4 linked regions of the Danio rerio genome follow. The protein of the gene in region 3 interacts with the protein of the main gene of each other region in a pairwise test. Links are inferred from orthologs where the notes say so. Each region holds a gene or a part of one and is shown on either strand. Other genes may lie near its edges.

Region 1 (4,476 bases), on a different chromosome or scaffold from region 3:
CCATATTAATTGTGTTCCAGATATGGATGTGAATGGCTGATTTTTTCCACAACATTCTTCAGTATATTTTGTTTAAAAAGAAGAAAGTAAGGCGACACGATGGCTCAGTGGTTAGAACTGTCGTCTCACAGCAAGAAGGTCGCTGGTTTGAGTCCCTGCTAGGTCAGTTGGGATTTCTGTGTGGAGTTTGCACATTCTCCCTGTGTTGGCATGGGTTAGCTCCGTTTGCTCCAGTTTCCCCCACAGTACAAAGACAACCACTACAGGTAAATTGGGTGAACTAAATTGTTCTTAATACTTAGTGTGTGACTAAGCCGAAGGTAAATTAATGAATGGATAAAGAAGAAAGTAATCCATAAACCTTTTATTTCTATTATTTTTTTATTGTTAAGCCCATAAACAGTGTATACAATTTATACATACATCAACAAATAGGCAGATCATCTTTAACAATGAAAAGTAATCCATAAACATTTAGGAGCATGATTTATTTTTGACTAAAAGGTCTCCAACTATCAAACCCAATTTTATTGTTTCATTTATTCAAATATTTTCTTTCTGGCTTAGTCCCTTTATTAATCTGGGGTTGCCACAGCGGAATGAACCGCCAACTTATCCATCACATATTTTATGCAACGGATGCCCTTCCAGCTGCAACTCATCACTGGGAAATACACCCATTCACTCTCATTCAGTCATACAGTACGGACAATTTAGCTTACCCAATTCACCTACAGCGCATGTATTTGGACTGTGGGGGAAACCGGAACACCCTGAGGAAACCCACGCCAACACAGGGAGAACATGCACACTCCACACAGAAATGCCAACTGACCTAGCTGAGGCTTGATCCAGTGACCTTCTTGCTGTGGGGTGATCATGCTACCCACTGCACCACAACAAAGCCCTCTTATTGTTTATGGACATATTAAATCCTTAAATAATACTATTTTAATATTGCAACCTAAGGTCTCAATTGTTTTATATATTAACTATACTTTTTTCAGATTTTTAAACAAATGTCACTTTGTAGTTTACAAAACAGCAATAATATGCATTAAATAGATCAATTTTCTGAATTTATGTGGTAATATGTTTCTTCAGTCTCCTTCATGTTAAGTGAAACGCCTCTTGGCTTCTGTTGATTGTTTAGTCAGGTGAAGAAGATGAAGTGCTATAAATGAGTGAGTGAAGCACCTGTTGCTCAGTGTGATCAGAGCTCCTGCAGATCTCCAGAGAGGCGGCAGCAGACATCAGCAGGCACGTCTTCTGCCCCATCAACACAGCTCGGTCTGGAGCACACAGCTGTGAAAGCTGCACATCACACGTTCACTGTAACTACACCTCACTAAAGCTGCAGTGTCAGCGTGTGGATTGCTGTTAGCACAATTATGACCTAGCATACAGTTACTAGGTGTATCATCCTGCTGGAAGTAGCCATCACAAGATAAATAAACTGTGGTCATAACGAGTTGGATGTGGTCAGCAACAATACACAGGTAAGCCGTGGCTTTAAACAATGCTCAATGATTAGTGCTAAAGGACCCAAGGTATGGCAAGAAATTCCTCACACTACTACATCACCACAGCATGCTAAATTAATACTTGCTTTCAATCTATTGAGTTGCTGCCATGTCATTGGCTGATTATAATTTGCCTTATTTAGCAGTAGTAATAATAAGTGTAAAGCATCTGGAGAATATACTCCATATATTAGCAACTAACTTGCACACTAAAAGATACATTTTTGCTGATACATAATAAAATGTCTTTGTAAATATCATTTAAAGTTGCTATGAAACAGAAGTTAATATTGTCCTTTTCCCCATATTGTTATGTACATACAATAGATACATTAATGAAATGAATTAGCAGAAAAAAATAGGGCTATGCATGAATAAATCCATTGAGGACCGATAGGATCATTGAAAGATGGGCATTGCTAAGAAAATTAAGTAACATTGCTGAATAGATACAAGCAGAGCATACATGAGACATGAATGGCATTCCATGTGACCAGAAGTGAAGAAAAGTCACTTTGAGAGGGGAGGGAAGTTTATGGTATTTGATAAAGATTATGAAGGCAAATGATTTTTACTAAATAATAAAGTGCACAGAAACATCATTTATAAGAAGAACCACTATATAAAAATATTAAAATAAGAAGAGCTCATTTAAATTTCATGGTGATTTAAGCTCCATGCACAAATGTTTTAAAATCAGCATCCTGGCTTTGCAGCCTTCAGAATTTATATTGTTTTGATTGAAAAATGATGGCCAGGGTGGCATTTTAAGTACATAATTATGTGTATATGTGAGCATCCTACACATGTACAGTGTGTGCACTCACTGATAATAGAAATATGTTGTTCACTGTACACATGCCTTGAGTTTCTTGTACACTACCTGACAAAAGTCTTGTCGCCTATCCAAGTTTTAGCAACAACAAATAATATATTAACTTCTAGTTGATCATTTGGTATCAGAATTGGCTTATATGAAAGGCAAGGGCCTGTAGATTATGTGTATTTTACCAACATAAAGTATTATCATGCCTTGATTTTTAGATATTTAATTAGGACAGTAAGGTCTAACTTAGCTTAGACAAAAGTCTTGTCACTTAACAGAAATAATGTACAGTATAGAATATAAAGTCATGGTGCAGTGGAAAAAGAATGAATATTGTGTATGATTCTTATGAGCTTGGAGGACTGCATCCATCCACCTCTGCAATGACTCAAATAACTCATTAATAAAGTCATCTGGAATGGCAAAGAAAGCGTTCTTGCAGGAGAACAAGATGCAGTTGTCAATCAAGATTATTTGGATTCCTCTTCGATGCCTCCTCCATCTTACCCCAGACATACTCAATCTTGTTCATATCTGGTGACTGGGCTGGCCAATCCTGGAGCACCTTGACCTTTTTTGCTTTCAGGAACCTTGATGTGGAAGGATAATTTTTCTCTCCTGTGGTTTGTAATGTAATGGGCAGCACAAATGTCTTGATACCTCAGGCTGATGATGTTTTCATTTACTCTGCAGATCTCTTGCATGCCCCCATACTGAATGTAACCCTAAACCATGATTTTTCCTTCACCAAACTTGACTGATTTCTATGAGAATCTTGGGTCCATGCGCATTCCAGTAGGTGTTCTGCAGTATTTGTGATGATTGGGATGCAGTTCAACAGATGATTTATCTGAAAAATCTACCTTTTACCACTTTTTCAAATGATCAACTTAAAGTCGAGTTATTATTTGTTGCTCTTACAACTGGGATATACAACAAGGTTTTTGTCAGGTAGTGTATAAAAAAAGTATAGGCAGGGCTTATGAGGGACTATATCTTAACTTACTTGAAACGAGAGAAGAAAGAAATCCTTCATCCGAACAGGACTGTGCTCACACTGAAGGGCAGAGTTCCATGCTGAGAGTCAGAAAGACAGCCAATTTACAACACATGCACATTCAATCAAACATAACTACCAATAGACAAATGTTTCTCAAACTGTTGGAGGTTTATAAAAAGAGCACCAATTCTCCTGAACCAGTTAGCATCTTCTGAACGCTGCTCTGCTCTCTGACCAGGAATATGGCAGACTTGTGATAATTTCTGAAGAGCTGTAAATTTAGTTACAGTATGCATAAATCAGAGCAGACATAAAACAGCAGTGTAAAGACAAATGATGGTTAAGCCTACCTGTTTTTAGGTATGACAAGAGGATATCCAAGCTGGCATTCCTGTTTTAGAAATAGATGAAGTGAGACAAAGGGAGCTGCTGAGTTTGTCAGAATTTCTGTACCACTGATCTACTAACCTGTTTTCCTCGCTGATGTTTTCCAGTGTTGAAAGAGCTAGTCGCACTAAACACCTGAAAAAACATTGGCCCAGATTTTCTAACAGCTTGAGCCAGCACAAACCCTCTTGTGAATAACGCTAAATACAGGTGTAAACAGGGTCTAAACTTGAGCTTGCCTACTTTTGCAGAGTAAATGCTTATAATTGCTCATGATGGAATCGAATGTTATTGAAGGGATAGTTCACACAGAATTAAAATTTTCCCACCATTTACTCACACTCAAGTTTCTTTCTTTTGTAGAATATAAAATAAAACTGAATAAAGCTGGAAAAAACAGCCATTGACATCCATACTAGTAAAAAATATATACTATACAAGTAAATGGCTGTTTTTTTCTACTATTTATCAGTATGCATATCTTCCTTTTGTGTTTAACAGAAGAAAGAAACTCTAACAGGATCTGAACAAGTTGTTCAAATGATGGCAGGATTTTTATTTTTGGGCGAACTATCCCTTTAAACATCCCCAAAAGATAACAAATGATTGGTATGAGCCGAGATATAATAAGTTTTGCAGAGTTTACTATGCTGTACCAAAACTGATTATGATCAAAATCATACTTGTCATTCACATCCTTTTTATTCGCTTGCTTTTTGCTCAATTGTTAGCCACATAAC
Region 2 (4,476 bases), on a different chromosome or scaffold from region 3:
TCACCACCAAAATAGCACGCACCACTTTTTTTTTTTAACAATCACAGACACACACTTTCAGTCTATGCTCTATTCCCTGGTGGCTTGCATAGGCACTTTTTGCCCGATAGCAAGAAAAACCAATGAAGAAAAAAAAAAAGAAACGTTGTGATCTAGTTTCTATTTTTTGACCTCCATATCCATACTGAAATGAAACGTCCCCAAAGACAATACATCATTGCAATTTTTGATTCCCCATCCACTTTGAAATTTGACAAAACTGCAGGAATGGTTCAAATGTTTCTCTCGCATGCTTTTTCACAGTTGTCTTCTTTAAAAGACAAGTGTGTAAATTCATGTTGAAAACAATTCTTTCTTTCCTGGCTTGAACACCCTAAAATAAAAGCCATTGTGACAGAAAATACACACTTCACTTTTAAACTGACATTGCAAAGCAGTGTTTATTTCAATGCAATGTCCTTAAATTAAACTGGGGGTTATATGTAGAAGTTGCTTGAAAACCAAAAATAATGTTCCAACATGTGGGGTCAGTCGTTGTTTATATGCAGGGTTTATATATGAAGAGCTCGGGTTCTAACTGCAGCTATGAACACTAAGCTTGTCTGACCTTTTAAAGTGATGGTTCACCCAAAACTGAAAACTGTTCTTTTTCTTGTTGTAAATATTGTTGCAAGTGTTTTCTTTTTTAACAGTTGATTGCAAAAGAAATCATTTTGAAAAAAAATATATAATAATCTGGATATTCTCTTACCATTGACTATAAGTTCTATTATTTGTTTTTTCCACTATGGAATTTGATGGTTTTAGGTTTTCAGCTGTCAAAATATTGTCTTTAGTGTTCAAAAACCAGAGGAAACTTTTGTTTGGGTGTGTTTGGAATGGTGAGTAAATCTTAATTTTTGGGTGAACTATCACTGTAATTATCTGGAAATGGCCTCATTATGAGTATGTTGTGGTCAAATCAGGGAATGATGTGTTACCAAATGGGTTATAGTTGACAAGACTGAAGCGCTGACGTGTTCACACTGCGAAAAAGACAACATGTGCTCCACACAGGCATGTGGTAAAGCAGAAAGCAGATTTTGGCAGCAGAACAGGGTTTAGCACCACACCACACCAACCAACAGCTCAGATTCAACCAAAAAGATCATGGATTATTGTCAGGAAAACAAAAGCTTCATATGCAGTAGTAACTGCAACTCCTGCCAGAAGATGGCTGTTTTCAGGGACCAGTAAAGGGCCAACAAAAGCAGCAGGTACAGTGCATCATGGGTAACAGTGTCGCTACCCATGGCGATACACAGTCTTTTATATACAAATTAAAAATTTCACCCATGGCCTGTATGGTTGCCAAGGCCGTGCTAGTCCTAATATGTTGCACATTTGCTGATCTTTAATCAGGGCAATCCAGTGTCTTATCCACTCAGTACTCCCACTCATCCGTCTTCATATCCAGATAACTAAGAATATTCTGGGCATGTTTAACAGCTTGCTTACGGGCAGTTTTGGTCCCCTGGTCACCCTGAGGGTCCACAGCGTCAAGAGCCAGAAGTTGTTTGGTCAGTAGCTCCTCCAACACCATGTAGCTCTTGTCGGCCCTTTTGCCATCGAAGCCCAACACCTGGGCCTGCAGATCACACAAACTGCCCAGCACTCGCCACACGGCTGCATGAGGTGGAGGTTCATCTGGCCCTGGATTACGTCGTCCTAGTGCTTCCCAGAGGTCTAGGAAGGTGATGAGCGCCTGCACCTCTAGCACAGCCCTGCGTCGCGCCTCCCGGATGCAGGGATTTCGGCCTGTATTTACCTGGTCCAGATGGTTAAGGAGACCCTGCAGCTCTATTCCCTGTCCAGAAGCTCCATGCCGAAGCACCTCTTCTCGCAGCACTGACACACGACCCCTGATAGCCTCAATTTCACGAATAGAGTCATTCTGTGCTAGATCATACCTGAAAGAAAAAAAATTGTAAGTATATTATTGGAAAAAAGATGCTTTTTAATTCATCCAAGTAAATAAATTTTATTCAAATATATACATGCACCACAATTACTCCATAACTACTCAAAAGTTTGAAATAACTTCCTTTTGTTATTTGATTAGGCTTTTTATCATAAAATGAAACTGTATAAATGCTACTGTATGTTAAGAATTGCATTATAAACATATTCTTTATTCTTATTGTAATACTAAGAAGGTTTACATAGCACATAATAAATAGCTGATGTAATCCAGGTCCCCGTATGAATAAAATAAATATAACAAGAATTGTTAGTGCTCAGTGCTCACCTATTTAAGGTGGTCAAGAGTGCTTAACGTGCTGCAATTTAAGAAAACACATGCAAAAACAAAAAACATTAGCAATTAAGAAAAGACACAAGCTGCAAATCCTCAAAGCAAAGACAGTAAAAAACACGCTGCCGTTTTTCACAACACAAACAATTAATGAAATCGAGCTGCCTTTTCTCACAACACTTCCAAAAAGAACGAAACACAATGAAAATGTTTCAAGGGTACCGAAAAACGTGACAAACATAACTGTATACTCAGTGAAGTTGTAAGTGATCTTTGAAAGGGGAGTTTTTTGTTTGTTTATATTAACATCTTGATTCCCTTGTTTTTTGCATTTTATTAGCCTAAATAACCAGAACCTAAATAGCCAGGTCCCCTTAAAACATTTTCACTGTGTTCCGACCTATTTGAAAGTGTTAAAAAGAAAATGCAGCACATTTTATTCATTTATTTGCATTGTGGGAAAATGCAGCCCTATTTTTATGTGTTTGCGTTGTGAGGATTTGCAGCACGTTTGCTGTCAAACAGATGAAGATCTTTTCTAAATTTGCTGGCATGTTTGTGTATTTGCATGAGTTTTCTTAAATTGCAGCACATTAAGCTTTCTCTGCCACCATACTTTTTTTTCTAAAAATTAGGAACAAATAAAAATAAAACAAAAAAAAGTGTTTTAAAACAAAATTTGCAAATCCATGTACAAATCACATAAGGCTTCTATTTCATATTAATGACATTATGCTTACTTCGTTACAAAATTTTAGACTTCAGTGTCACAGACTTTTTTATAATATAAAAATCTGAATTATTAAACCTACTTTAAAATTATTTTCTTTTGTAAATATTTCCCAAATGATGTTTAACAGAGCAAGGAAATTTTCACAGTACCATATGTCTGATAGTATATTTTCTTCTGGAGAAAGTCTTATTTGTTTTATTTCAGTGGGAATAATACTAATTACCCTGACCTGCCTAGTTAACCTAATTAACCTAGTTAAGCCTTTAAATGTCACTTTAAGCTGTATAGAAGTATCCTGTAAAATATCCAGTAAAATATTATTTATTGTCATCATGGCAAAGATAAAATAAACCAGTCATTAGAGATGATTTATTAAAACTATTATGCTTAGAAATGTGTTAAAAAAATCGTATTCCCGTTGAACAAAAATTGGAGAAAAAAATAAACTGGGGGGCTAATAATTCAGGGGGTTTAATAATTCTGATTTTTGATTGCGTATGTGCGTGTGTGCGTGGTTCAATGCAGTCCCATAGCTTTAGAAATGGATTTTTAACCTTTTCCAGACTGGTAGATCTCAATAAAAATCTTTTGGATCTTGGCATGATGTCTAGCTTTTGAGGATCTTTTAGACTACTTTACTTTGTCTTCACTTTTTAGGTCCTATTTAAGCTATTTTTTAAATTGTAAACAGGTGTGGCAGTAACAAGTTCTGGGCGTGGCAAGAGAAATTGAACTTTTGTTGTGATAAATTAGCATTAAGTTATCTTTAAATCTTATCTCCCTTAATGATAAAAATCTTTATTAAAAAAATGTGTGATGTGTTTAATTGTGCTATCTTTGACTAACATTTAAAGGACACCTATGGTGAAAAATCTACTTTTCAAGCTGTTTGGACAGACATGTGTGTAGGTATAGTGTATTGACCATCATATTGGGATGATATAAACACACACAGTCCTTTTTTTTCAATTTAACAACATAAAAAAGGTTGAACCAATTGGAGTGGTTTTCAGAGCAACCGCAACTTGACGTAGGAGTGCAGTCCCCCAGCCCAGTTTGTTGTTTCACGTCTGCCATTTTCAGCGTGTGAGTCAAAGCGATGTCACTAAAGGAACACCCTTGCTCTATTTTTATATGTAAGGCTCATTAGGCTCAACACAAGATGAACATACACCACTTGATCGCTCTAATCAGAATTATTGTTTGTAACTTTAGGTAGGTTTGCAAATATGAGTACTTTTCATTGTGTCTACCTTAAACTGGAAAGTGCGAGCACGTTGCCTCAGGTGCACGTCTCTTCATTGGAAATAAAATAACAAACTTGCCTGCAGGAAGCACACCATAAGCGCCGCTCTGCGTGGCCCGACACTGAGCATGCATTTTAGAATTCTAAACATAGGTTTCTATCAGGGTACACACAACGGCGCTTCAAGTCGACGGCTGGCCGATT
Region 3 (4,476 bases):
GCCTGGCCAATGTTTTCCCAAGCCTGCAGCTCGCGTTCCATTTTCTAGAAGATAAAATATTCAAATAGAACTGATTTGAGTATATGTGTGTATATGTGTGTGTGTGTGTGTGTGTGTGTGTGTGTGTGTGTGTGTGTGTGTGTGTGTGTGTGTGTGTGTGTGTGTGTGTAAAGAAAACGTAAATGTTACAATTTAAAAAAGAAACATTGCACTGAGACTCCTCTAATACTAAATAAAATGTATTCTCTTATACATTTTTCTATTTGATTTTGGGTAGAAATGTCCAAAAGAAACAATACACAGTCAAGGATAGGAATTCAAAGCAACTTAAAAAGATAGCACATCACAAAAATCACTAGCTATTTCTTTTGCAATGTGAAATGGGAGTTTTATTCATTCAATAGATGTTTTTTTACACAGAAAAAAAAAACTCAAAATTTACTGAGTAGAATTGCTTTAAACAGGGTTTCTGCAGGTATCACCGAGTTAAATTTAAGACCTTTTAAGACCATTATGAATGAAAGTTTAGAATCATTAAAGGTTAAATGCTAGGGAATTTCAAATGCCCCAGATGGAACAGATTTTTATTTGACCTATTAAAAAAATTACAATTTAATACATTTAATAATACAATAATACATTAATAATAAACAATTATAATATTTTAGATTTTATTTCTTAGCTAAATATTGTGTAAAAACAAGCAAGCTCTACTTGTATCCATAAACTTTTTTTATAACATAAACTTTCTTTAAAATAAAAAATGATCAGATGTTTTAAAAGTTTTAAAAACTATAATAAACCAAATCTGTGCACAACAATCGGTCCAGGTAGGTGTTCTGAACAGTAAATACATAGAGAACTTTTAAACAAATGTTATTGTAAGGAAAATACTTAAACCATTTTAATAATATAAATAATAATTAAAATTTTAAAAAAATAATTCCTTACATTTATAAAGCACTTGTCTGGACACTCAAAGTCCTTTACACATTCTTGGGGGGAATCTCTTCATCCACCACCATCTATTTATTATGATAAATAGAGTTAAAAATAGAGTTAAAAATTACCTTTTAAATAAAATTAGGATTGTTGGAGATTGTATGGGTTTTGACCAGATTGGGTAGAAATACACGAATAAAGGAAAATTAAGAACTGATTTAAGGCCTACAACACAATATTTCAGTAAATTTAAGACTTTTTAGGGCCTAAAATTTTGATTTTGAGATTTAAGACGTTAAGGATTCAAGACCCTGCAGAAAGCCTGTTTAAAGGGATAGTTCATGCTAGGGTTGTCATGATACCGGAATTCGGTACAAATCGATATTGATATTTTAAAAACATCCATTTCCCACTAGCATTTGAGTGGTGTTAAGCATGTTCTTAAGACTGATTTATACTGGACGCGTCCGCTAGTTCATTTGAGTGAGCTTTGCAAAAAAGATTTTGTCTGAAACAGGTTTGCCTGGCAGACATCTTTATGATCCATCTATGCATGACCGTAGGGATAACCAGATGGCCAATAATTCTTGGCCAGAAATTACAACAGCAGTAGGAAAGGTAGAAAGTTTTTGTTAAAAAGTTTATAAAAACTTGAGTGATGAGTTGGCAAAAGTGGAGACCTACGTGGTTTAATTAACAATTTAATAGTTACAAAACTAAAATAAAGTAACAAATTATTTCTTTGATAACTGGAAGAATATTTGAACCTATAAGTTTACAATATACTGATTTCTTTTCTTTATTCTTGATAATGATCAGGAATGTCGGACCATTATTACCTTTTTAGCATGTAATAGTACACAAACTAGCAAGACACTAATGTGTGAACTGTGGAGTGGGCAGAATTTTTTTTTTTTTTTAAGTGTACTTTTTTTGCTTTTATTTTGCCATAATAAACAATATATTTGAAGAGCAACCCATGTTTGTTGTCAATATTTTTATAACTATAATAGGTAGCACAGTCTAAGATATGAACAAAAGAAGTGATGTATCAAAGTTTAATTTCAAAAATCTTGAATGGTTATAAAAAAATTTATGATCATTAAAAAAAAAAATAAAAATAATAAAAAAATAATTAGTTTAAATATCCTGAGTGATATTAATGATATGACGTAGTTCCAGAAACTTTTTACTTCTGTTTATCTGTCGGATTTTACAATTCGGTTTTTTGACCATGCCCTGTGGTCTTAAAAAATCTCTCAATGGCAAACGCATCAAGTACAAAAGCCTTGTCCGTTTTGTGCACGCGCAGTAAGTGGAGGCCTGCGATGCGGCGCCAGGCGAAAGTATAAATCAGCCTTTTTGATTTGCCACTGTATTCACGTGCTCAATAGGAATGAATGTGGTTGGCTGTGAAGGTCATCAGTTCACCAAACGCACAGCTGTTTACGGAGTGTAAGCACAGATACAGGGACACTGGAGTGTTTCAAAGCCGCAATTCATCAGCGGATCGTTCATATGTCAGCTTATATATAAACCAAAATGTTTAGAAATGCTCCAGCATCCCAGTACCTGTGGTTACACTCAGTAAACAGCAATGAGTTCTGTGAACTGATGACCTTCACAGCCAATCAGTCATAAAAATTTTGCGTTTAAAATTTCTGTACAAATTGGTACCAAATTCCAGTATCGTGACAAACCTAGTTCACGCAAAAACAGAAATGACCTCATCATTTAGTTTTTAATCACTTAGTTTTTCTTTAGAACACAAAAGAAGATATTTTGAGATATTCTAAAACCCATTAACTAATAATGACTATAGACCTCGATAGACACTAACAACCAGCATTTTTTTCGAAATACTTTCTTTTGTGTTCAACTCAAATAAGCTTTGAACAAGTAAAGGTTGATTAAATAACAACAGAACATTCATCTAAGGTTGAACTACCTATTTAATTGCACATTTTGCAACCGTTTACCTCTTTCTCCAACTCCACTTTGATTTTCTCCTCCATCACTTTCTCCAGCCTCTCCAGCTTCCTCCTCAAGCCCTCGGTCTCTTCCTTCAGCAAACTGTTGTTCTCTTTTGTCTCCCTTTTGAAAGACAGTTGAAGACGTGCTAAATATACATTAGGCATGCATCAGGGAAAAAGTCTGACAGTGAATGCGGATACCTTAAGAAAGAGTTTTCCTCACGCAGACGTTTAATTTCCCGCTCCATTTCAGGCAGTCTGGCCACTTCAGATTTCATGTTCTTCACAATCACGGAGTCCTGTTCCTGAAGAGCCAAACGCCTCTCCAACTCCTGCAGATGGACAGCACAAATAAGACCAAGCTGAGCACAAATACAAGCCAATTTCATGATGCTAATACAAGCTTTATTTTAGTCTAGACTTGACACTCGAGCACCAGTACTTCAGACATCCCTTAGTGCTCCAAAATCCACCGAAATTGAGAAAAAGACTGAAACAAAAATACCTTCATCTTGAGTTCGCTCTCTGTGCTGGTTGAATGAGAGGACTGCAGATTTTGGTACTTCTGACTGATGTCCTGAAACTTCCTGTTAACAACAAAGACAAAAAATGCTTACTGTTACGAATATATCGCGCAATATATTGTTTCACCATCGATATTGCAATATGCACTTCTACAATAGTCCCATTGCAGGAAGTGCAATGTTTGGTTTATATGTTGGGATTATAGTTTACCAGGAGCCACAGTTCAGAACACAGAAGATTTCTGGAGTCACTGAAGAGTTTCACCATAATGGAGTGAACACATGTGCCCCATGGATTAATACATTTTTTTACTTGTAGATTAATCCTAAATTTGAAACGATGGCAGAGAGATCACCTCACATCAATCAAATCACATTTATGAAAGCATGTAGGTTTTGACATAAGTTGTAGTGGTTTTTTCAGGATGAGGTGGGTTTCTTAGGTTATTAAAGAGGTTTTCTTTTACAATTTAGCCTGCATTAATGCATTCAGTGTAAGCTGCACGATTAATCACTAAAAGATCGGGATCTCAACACCCACGCAACAAATTTTTAATGATGGTGATTTGTATACTTTTATTAATCCAAAGAGATTTAGTCTTCAGTGTTTTGAGTTAGTTATGAAGTTACAAAAAGTCAAATAACACAGAAGTACTGGGATAATGGTTTAAAGTTAAGATATAACTAGGGCCAGATGGAATCTGCGGACATTTTTTTGCCATTTCTTTAAAAAAAATCTGCAGATTTATGCGGAATGATTTCGAGGGTCTCATAATTAAAACCTTAACATATGAGCTAAAAAGTAATACCTTTTTAACTTGTATTTAATGTTTATAATGCAAATCCAATTAGATCCACTTTATTTGGTAAACAAATCAAGTCTTCTATATAATAAATCTACTAAAAGACAGAAAATATGACTTAACAAGCTGTATTCAAAATAACTATATGAACAGTTTCATATTAGTCAATAATAATACTGAAATAAATTTAAATTATGCTGAAATTGTATTCATATCGCAGCAAAACAAAACATG
Region 4 (5,219 bases), on a different chromosome or scaffold from region 3:
TGCTGTCTTCATTAGTTTCAAAAACACTGATTTCATTACAATTTAAAACACCATAATTGGATATTTTGTCTGCTGGAAATTCTGTTGTCCTAAAAAAAATGTTAATAAAAAATATTACATATACCTTAGACCGGTATCACAGAAAATTTTATCGATTTTAAAACCTTGACTTTTGCAAACTGTGTTATACTTGAAAAACGGTTATCATCCCATGCCTAATGCAAACTGTTGAAAGTCAGCGTTCACCTGATTTGGATGTAAATACCCTCAAATTAAAGCTGACAGTCTGCAGTTAAATCACTTCTTGATCATTTAATTTCAAACCCATTGTGTTGGTGTATGGAGCCAAAAATGTCAAAATTGTGCCAATGGCCAAATTTTTATGGACCTAACTGTATACATATGTTCTGGGAATGTCCCCAAATTGCATTATTCAGGTCCAAGGTACGAGACCTACTATTAGAGCTAATGGAAACTCCGATCCAACGTAACCCATTGTTTTTTCTCATGGTGGACGATTCATCACTCTCCTTATCCATCAACCAAAGGATTCTATCAGTTGTTCTGAATGCTGAAAAAAAAAACATCCTGAAAATATGGCTGTATCCATTTGCTCCAGCTGATGCACTGGACTGTATTAGTTTAGAATACACCACAGATAAAATAAATGATGCCAGTAAGAAAACTGTACAATTTTGGTTAAATATGACTGTATGAGATATGTTTCAATTATGATTTTGTACCTATTATTACAGTATTATTGTCTTTATTTTATTTGAGCATTTTGTGGATCTCAGGCTTTGTTCAAAATAAAAAATGTTTAATAAAAAAAATAAAAACATAAAAAAAAGAATGTAAAAAAAAAATGAAAGCAATTTTCTGAAGATCACACAGTCGCTGAGCTACAGAAGGTGTGTGCCCCAAGGGCTTTAATGACAGATCGAGAACATACTTATTACAAATTCTACTTGCAGCAGCTTTGAAGTGCATCACATGCATATGGCTAAATTCTGAACCTCCATCATATAATGCTTGGATTCAAAAAGTGTGGGAACTGTATGAAATGGAGCAAATCACATATGCAATGCGACTTAAAAAATATATATTTTCCTAAAGAGATGGCCTCCTGTCATGCCTTTAATTCTTCAATAATGAGCCATACTGTTATGATCAAGGCCACTCCTTTCTTTCTCTACTACAACATCCATCTAATTGTCCCCCTTTTTTATTTAATTTCATTTATTTATTTATTTTTGTATTTTTGTATTTTTTGTCAATTAACTTTTTTATTTTGAACGTCTATACCCCACACAACGTAACATTCACAATACAAAATCAACATTCAGGAAAATAATGTAAACAAAATATAATAAAATAATAACATAAAACATAAATATTAAATATAAAATTATACAATAGACAGCCAAAATGACAACCCTTCAATTTTTCTAATACATGCTCTCTAAATACCGTAAAAAGCTACCCCACTTCTGATGAAAAGTATAGGTGGAGAGTGGAGACCTCGAGTCTTGCCAATATACAGTATGTTTATATGATACAGTAGAAGTCATCAGCTCAATCTAATCCTTAAAAGTGGGAGTATCTGAGTTCTTCCAATTTCACAGCACCATTCTCACAGCCATAATACATCCTGCAATGACTAGCCCTAATTTAGTATTATTATTATTTTATTTTTTTATTTTGTTCTCAACATGTCTTTACAACCATTTTGGCAGCTAGAAATTGGAGTAACATGCAAAATAAGAATTTCTTCATTTTCTTTTTGGCTTAGTACTTTTATTAATCAGGGGTTGAAACAGCGGAATAAACCGCCAACTTAACCAGCATATGTTTTACCCTTCCAGCTGCAACCCAACACTGGGAAACACTCATACACTCTTGCATTCACACATGTACACTACAGCCAACTTAGCTTATTCAATTTACCTATAGCGCCTGTCTTTGCACTGTGGGGGAAACCGAAGCACCCAGAGGGAACCCAGGTGAACACGGGGAGAACATGCAAATTCCACACAGAACCAGCAACCTTCTTTCTGTGAGGCGATCAGGCTAACCTACTGTGCCACCATGACACCACAAATTAATAATAACAATAATTTAAAATTGTATTGTACTCATTGCTTTGCAGTGTTGCATTCTTTATTAAAAATAAGTTCCAAAAAAGACACAACAGAACTTATTTAAAGTTGTTATCATTTCTAATCTGTTCAGATTTTATAACGGTATAGTTCCCTCCAAAAATTATTTACATTTTTTCTACTCACCCTGAATTATAAACAATTTCAAGTTTATTTCTCCTGTTGAACACTAAAGGTGTTATTTTAAAAAGGCTGAAAACTGTAACAATTGGCCTCTATAGTAGAAAAAAAAAATACTATGACAGTGAATGATTACTGGTTTTCAGCTTTCTTCAACGTATCTTCTGTTGTGTTCAACAGAAATAGGCAACTCAATCAGGTTTGAAGCAAGTGGAAAATGAATAAATGATGACAGAAATATATATATATATATATATATATATATATATATATATATATATATATATATATATATTTATTTATTTTTATTATTTTTTTTTTTACAATCCTTTTAAAGTTCACTTCAAGAGTTTAGATGCCAAAACCTCTAAGTTAAATGTTGCTAGCGCATTTTCCTCCAACTCGTGTGTAGGTTCAGAAATTTTACTTTTATAGTGACCAAAAAGTTATTTATATTGCCTTTAAAGCAAAATAACGCTCATTTTAGGAGAAAATTTCTTTTTTGCATCTGAACTCTTCACTTTAAGATGCTGAACAGCATGCATAGTACAAATAGTCAATGTAGTCTAGGAAATCAACTGAGACATGTAAACTACCACAACAATCATAAGTATTAATGTTATAATTGAATAACTGATTATCAAAATGCTGTTGGATTAATGTTAAACGGCTTTATCACACTTGCTGTCAATCCTAGACGTTTGTATCTTTGCAACCTTAACGTTAGTTGACATCAGACTAATACTGTGCTTCAACACTACAACCAGTAATATTATACACAAAGATAAGCGAGTGTTTTTTTTAAGAGCTCTAGTTGAGTCGTTTGTGTTTGTTTATTTGGTATATGGTGGCTTTTATTCGGTTAATTGTGTTGGTTTACCTGCTTCAGCAGCTTTCATAAAGTCCGCCGGCGCGTTCAGTCTTTCTGATCTCCGCATATCCATGATAACCACTGAAAGTCACACAAGCGGTCCTACATAAACGTGTAAAATGCTCGAATCCGATTCTTTGATGATTTTTTAGTCATTGTTTTGCAAAGTGCTCGTTCTCCCCGCCGTTGAGTTCAAAGCTGTGCGTGCAGTTGTCATGACAGGAGATTTCCGGTTGGTTTGAGGCACTACAGCGCCCCCTGCAGTCTTTGGCACATTCTACAAGAAACGTACATTTTCACTTATAAAAAAATTGACAGGGCCTGACTTAAGCTTGTCTTCCTCAAAAATAAATAAATAAAAAACCATACAAAACAAGCATAAAATCATACAATTCAATGATAGAGCGCATCCTTTCCTCCATCAAGTGAGTCATATGAAGGCACGCAAAATGTAATGCAAATGTGACTGACCAAAACATAGGGACAATTGTAAATGAATTTAAATTATATGTTTAGCATTTATTTGTAGAATTTATATATAATTTCATGTTTTCAATTAATTGATGTAAATGATAACAACTTCAACTTTGCTATTTCTGAAGAATATGTTTTTCTAAATCACTGTTTTTTGCATAACAAAATGATTAAAGCTGTAGGTTCAGTTGGACTGAGGAAAAGGACAATAACAGGGTTTGTAAGTTTGTAAAGGGTTTTTAATAAAGAACGAAAATCTGAAAACTAAATGAATGACACTGACTCCTTTGCAGAACAACTCACAGAAATCAACCATCGGTCCATTTTAGACATTTTGGGATGAAATACTTTTTTTATTCACTCTATTTATGTTTTATTTCAGGTACAGATAATGTGCGTTTCTGGTAGAATTTCCACTCTATATAATGCTAAATTCAGCTTAAAAGGATAGTTCACCCAAAAATTATTCCCATAAATTATTATTATCACTATTTACTCACCCACAAGTTGATCCAAGCCCTTGAAAGACAATTTAAAGAATGTTAGAAGTAAATAACAGGAATACTAATAGTATGGAAATAGTTACCGGTTTTCAACATTTTTCAAAATATCTTATTTTTTGTTCAACAAAATAAACTGTTACAAATAAGAGTAAAAAACAACATGATTTTTTAGTTTTTCCTGAACTAATCTTTTAACTGTTTTGATAAATGCACTTTTATAGTCCCGATAATCAGGGATGGCCAGAATTTATGATACAAGTATTTCAAATGCGTATTTCACATACAAAATAGTATTTAGTAATTTGTAATTGATGTGGTTTATAAAAATAGGTTAATATTATGTTTAATGTTGTGTATTTTTAAAACACTGTAAAATACTGATAGGAAGTCTAAATGATGACATCATAAAAACATGACCTTTAATATTTGTGTTTTCTCAGTTATTTGCCAAGACGAGACTAGAAAATTGATTAATTTGATCAATTGCTTGGAGAATGGATGGAAATGATGCAACAAGTATTAAGAAAATAACAAACAAATAGCAGGGAGCAAGTCAACATTTATTTATGGAAAGACTAAGATTTTAGTAGATTTAGATATTGTGACTTTACATTTTAAACAGCTAGATTTATTTAGTAAATTATGTGAACAAAAATGTTAAGTAACTTTTTTAAGTTTTATCACTTTAAAATATAAGATTGCTATGAGATGGTGGCAATTTTCACAATAGATAGAGTTAGTGAGATATATAGTATAATATTCCAACTCAATTTATGCATCCAATGGTTTTTACAGTAATTAAAGAGGTCATCTTCAAGACAGGACTTAAAATTTGTACAAAATCTATACTAAAATCAAAGAGAAACACAAGTTACATTTTTATGAATACCTCCTCATGTGCAGTAGGTGAATGAGATATTATTTAATTAAATGTTTTAAATATTATTTAATTAATTTTTGTTATATTCGATTTTATTCGATATGTTATGCTTTAATAAATTTTATAAAATTTTCTATTATAATTTTATTAATTTTTTTGTTTTATTTGATTTGTTCTGCTTTATTTCATTTATTTTATTAAATTGTATGTAT

What was found.
Region 1: the proteins of mad1l1 (region 3) and tex11 interact in a two-hybrid assay, tested with the Homo sapiens proteins (2 studies listed by BioGRID and IntAct). The two-hybrid records come from large-scale screens. The link is inferred for Danio rerio from reciprocal best matches to the Homo sapiens genes MAD1L1 and TEX11.
Region 2: the proteins of mad1l1 (region 3) and bag5 interact in binary tests that used the Homo sapiens proteins (3 or more experiments, as listed by UniProt). The two-hybrid records come from large-scale screens. The link is inferred for Danio rerio from reciprocal best matches to the Homo sapiens genes MAD1L1 and BAG5.
Region 4: the proteins of mad1l1 (region 3) and si:dkeyp-20g2.1 interact in binary tests that used the Homo sapiens proteins (3 or more experiments, as listed by UniProt). The link is inferred for Danio rerio from reciprocal best matches to the Homo sapiens genes MAD1L1 and CCHCR1.

The regions. Positions count from the first base shown.
Region 1 is NC_133189.1:37,606,578-37,611,053, reverse strand, and holds part of tex11 (testis-expressed protein 11), read right to left. Parts: intron 3,872-4,476; coding exon 3,818-3,871; intron 3,741-3,817; coding exon 3,700-3,740; intron 3,621-3,699; coding exon 3,534-3,620; intron 3,427-3,533; coding exon 3,356-3,426; intron 1,315-3,355; coding exon 1,198-1,314; intron 1-1,197. UniProt on the Homo sapiens protein: Regulator of crossing-over during meiosis. Involved in initiation and/or maintenance of chromosome synapsis and formation of crossovers.
Region 2 is NC_133188.1:17,741,733-17,746,208, forward strand, and holds part of bag5 (BAG family molecular chaperone regulator 5), read right to left. Parts: intron 2,319-4,476; coding exon of another isoform or gene 2,288-2,318; exon of another isoform or gene 2,271-2,287; intron 1,950-2,270; coding exon 1,424-1,949; 3' UTR 1-1,423. UniProt on the Homo sapiens protein: Co-chaperone for HSP/HSP70 proteins. It functions as a nucleotide-exchange factor promoting the release of ADP from HSP70, thereby activating HSP70-mediated protein refolding.
Region 3 is NC_133176.1:11,252,077-11,256,552, forward strand, and holds part of mad1l1 (mitotic spindle assembly checkpoint protein MAD1), read right to left. Parts: intron 3,503-4,476; coding exon 3,421-3,502; intron 3,248-3,420; coding exon 3,117-3,247; intron 3,037-3,116; coding exon 2,922-3,036; intron 45-2,921; coding exon 1-44. UniProt on the Homo sapiens protein: Component of the spindle-assembly checkpoint that prevents the onset of anaphase until all chromosomes are properly aligned at the metaphase plate.
Region 4 is NC_133180.1:24,161,462-24,166,680, forward strand, and holds the start of si:dkeyp-20g2.1 (coiled-coil alpha-helical rod protein 1), read right to left. Parts: upstream 3,391-5,219; 5' UTR 3,224-3,390; coding exon 3,160-3,223; intron 1-3,159. UniProt on the Homo sapiens protein: May be a regulator of keratinocyte proliferation or differentiation.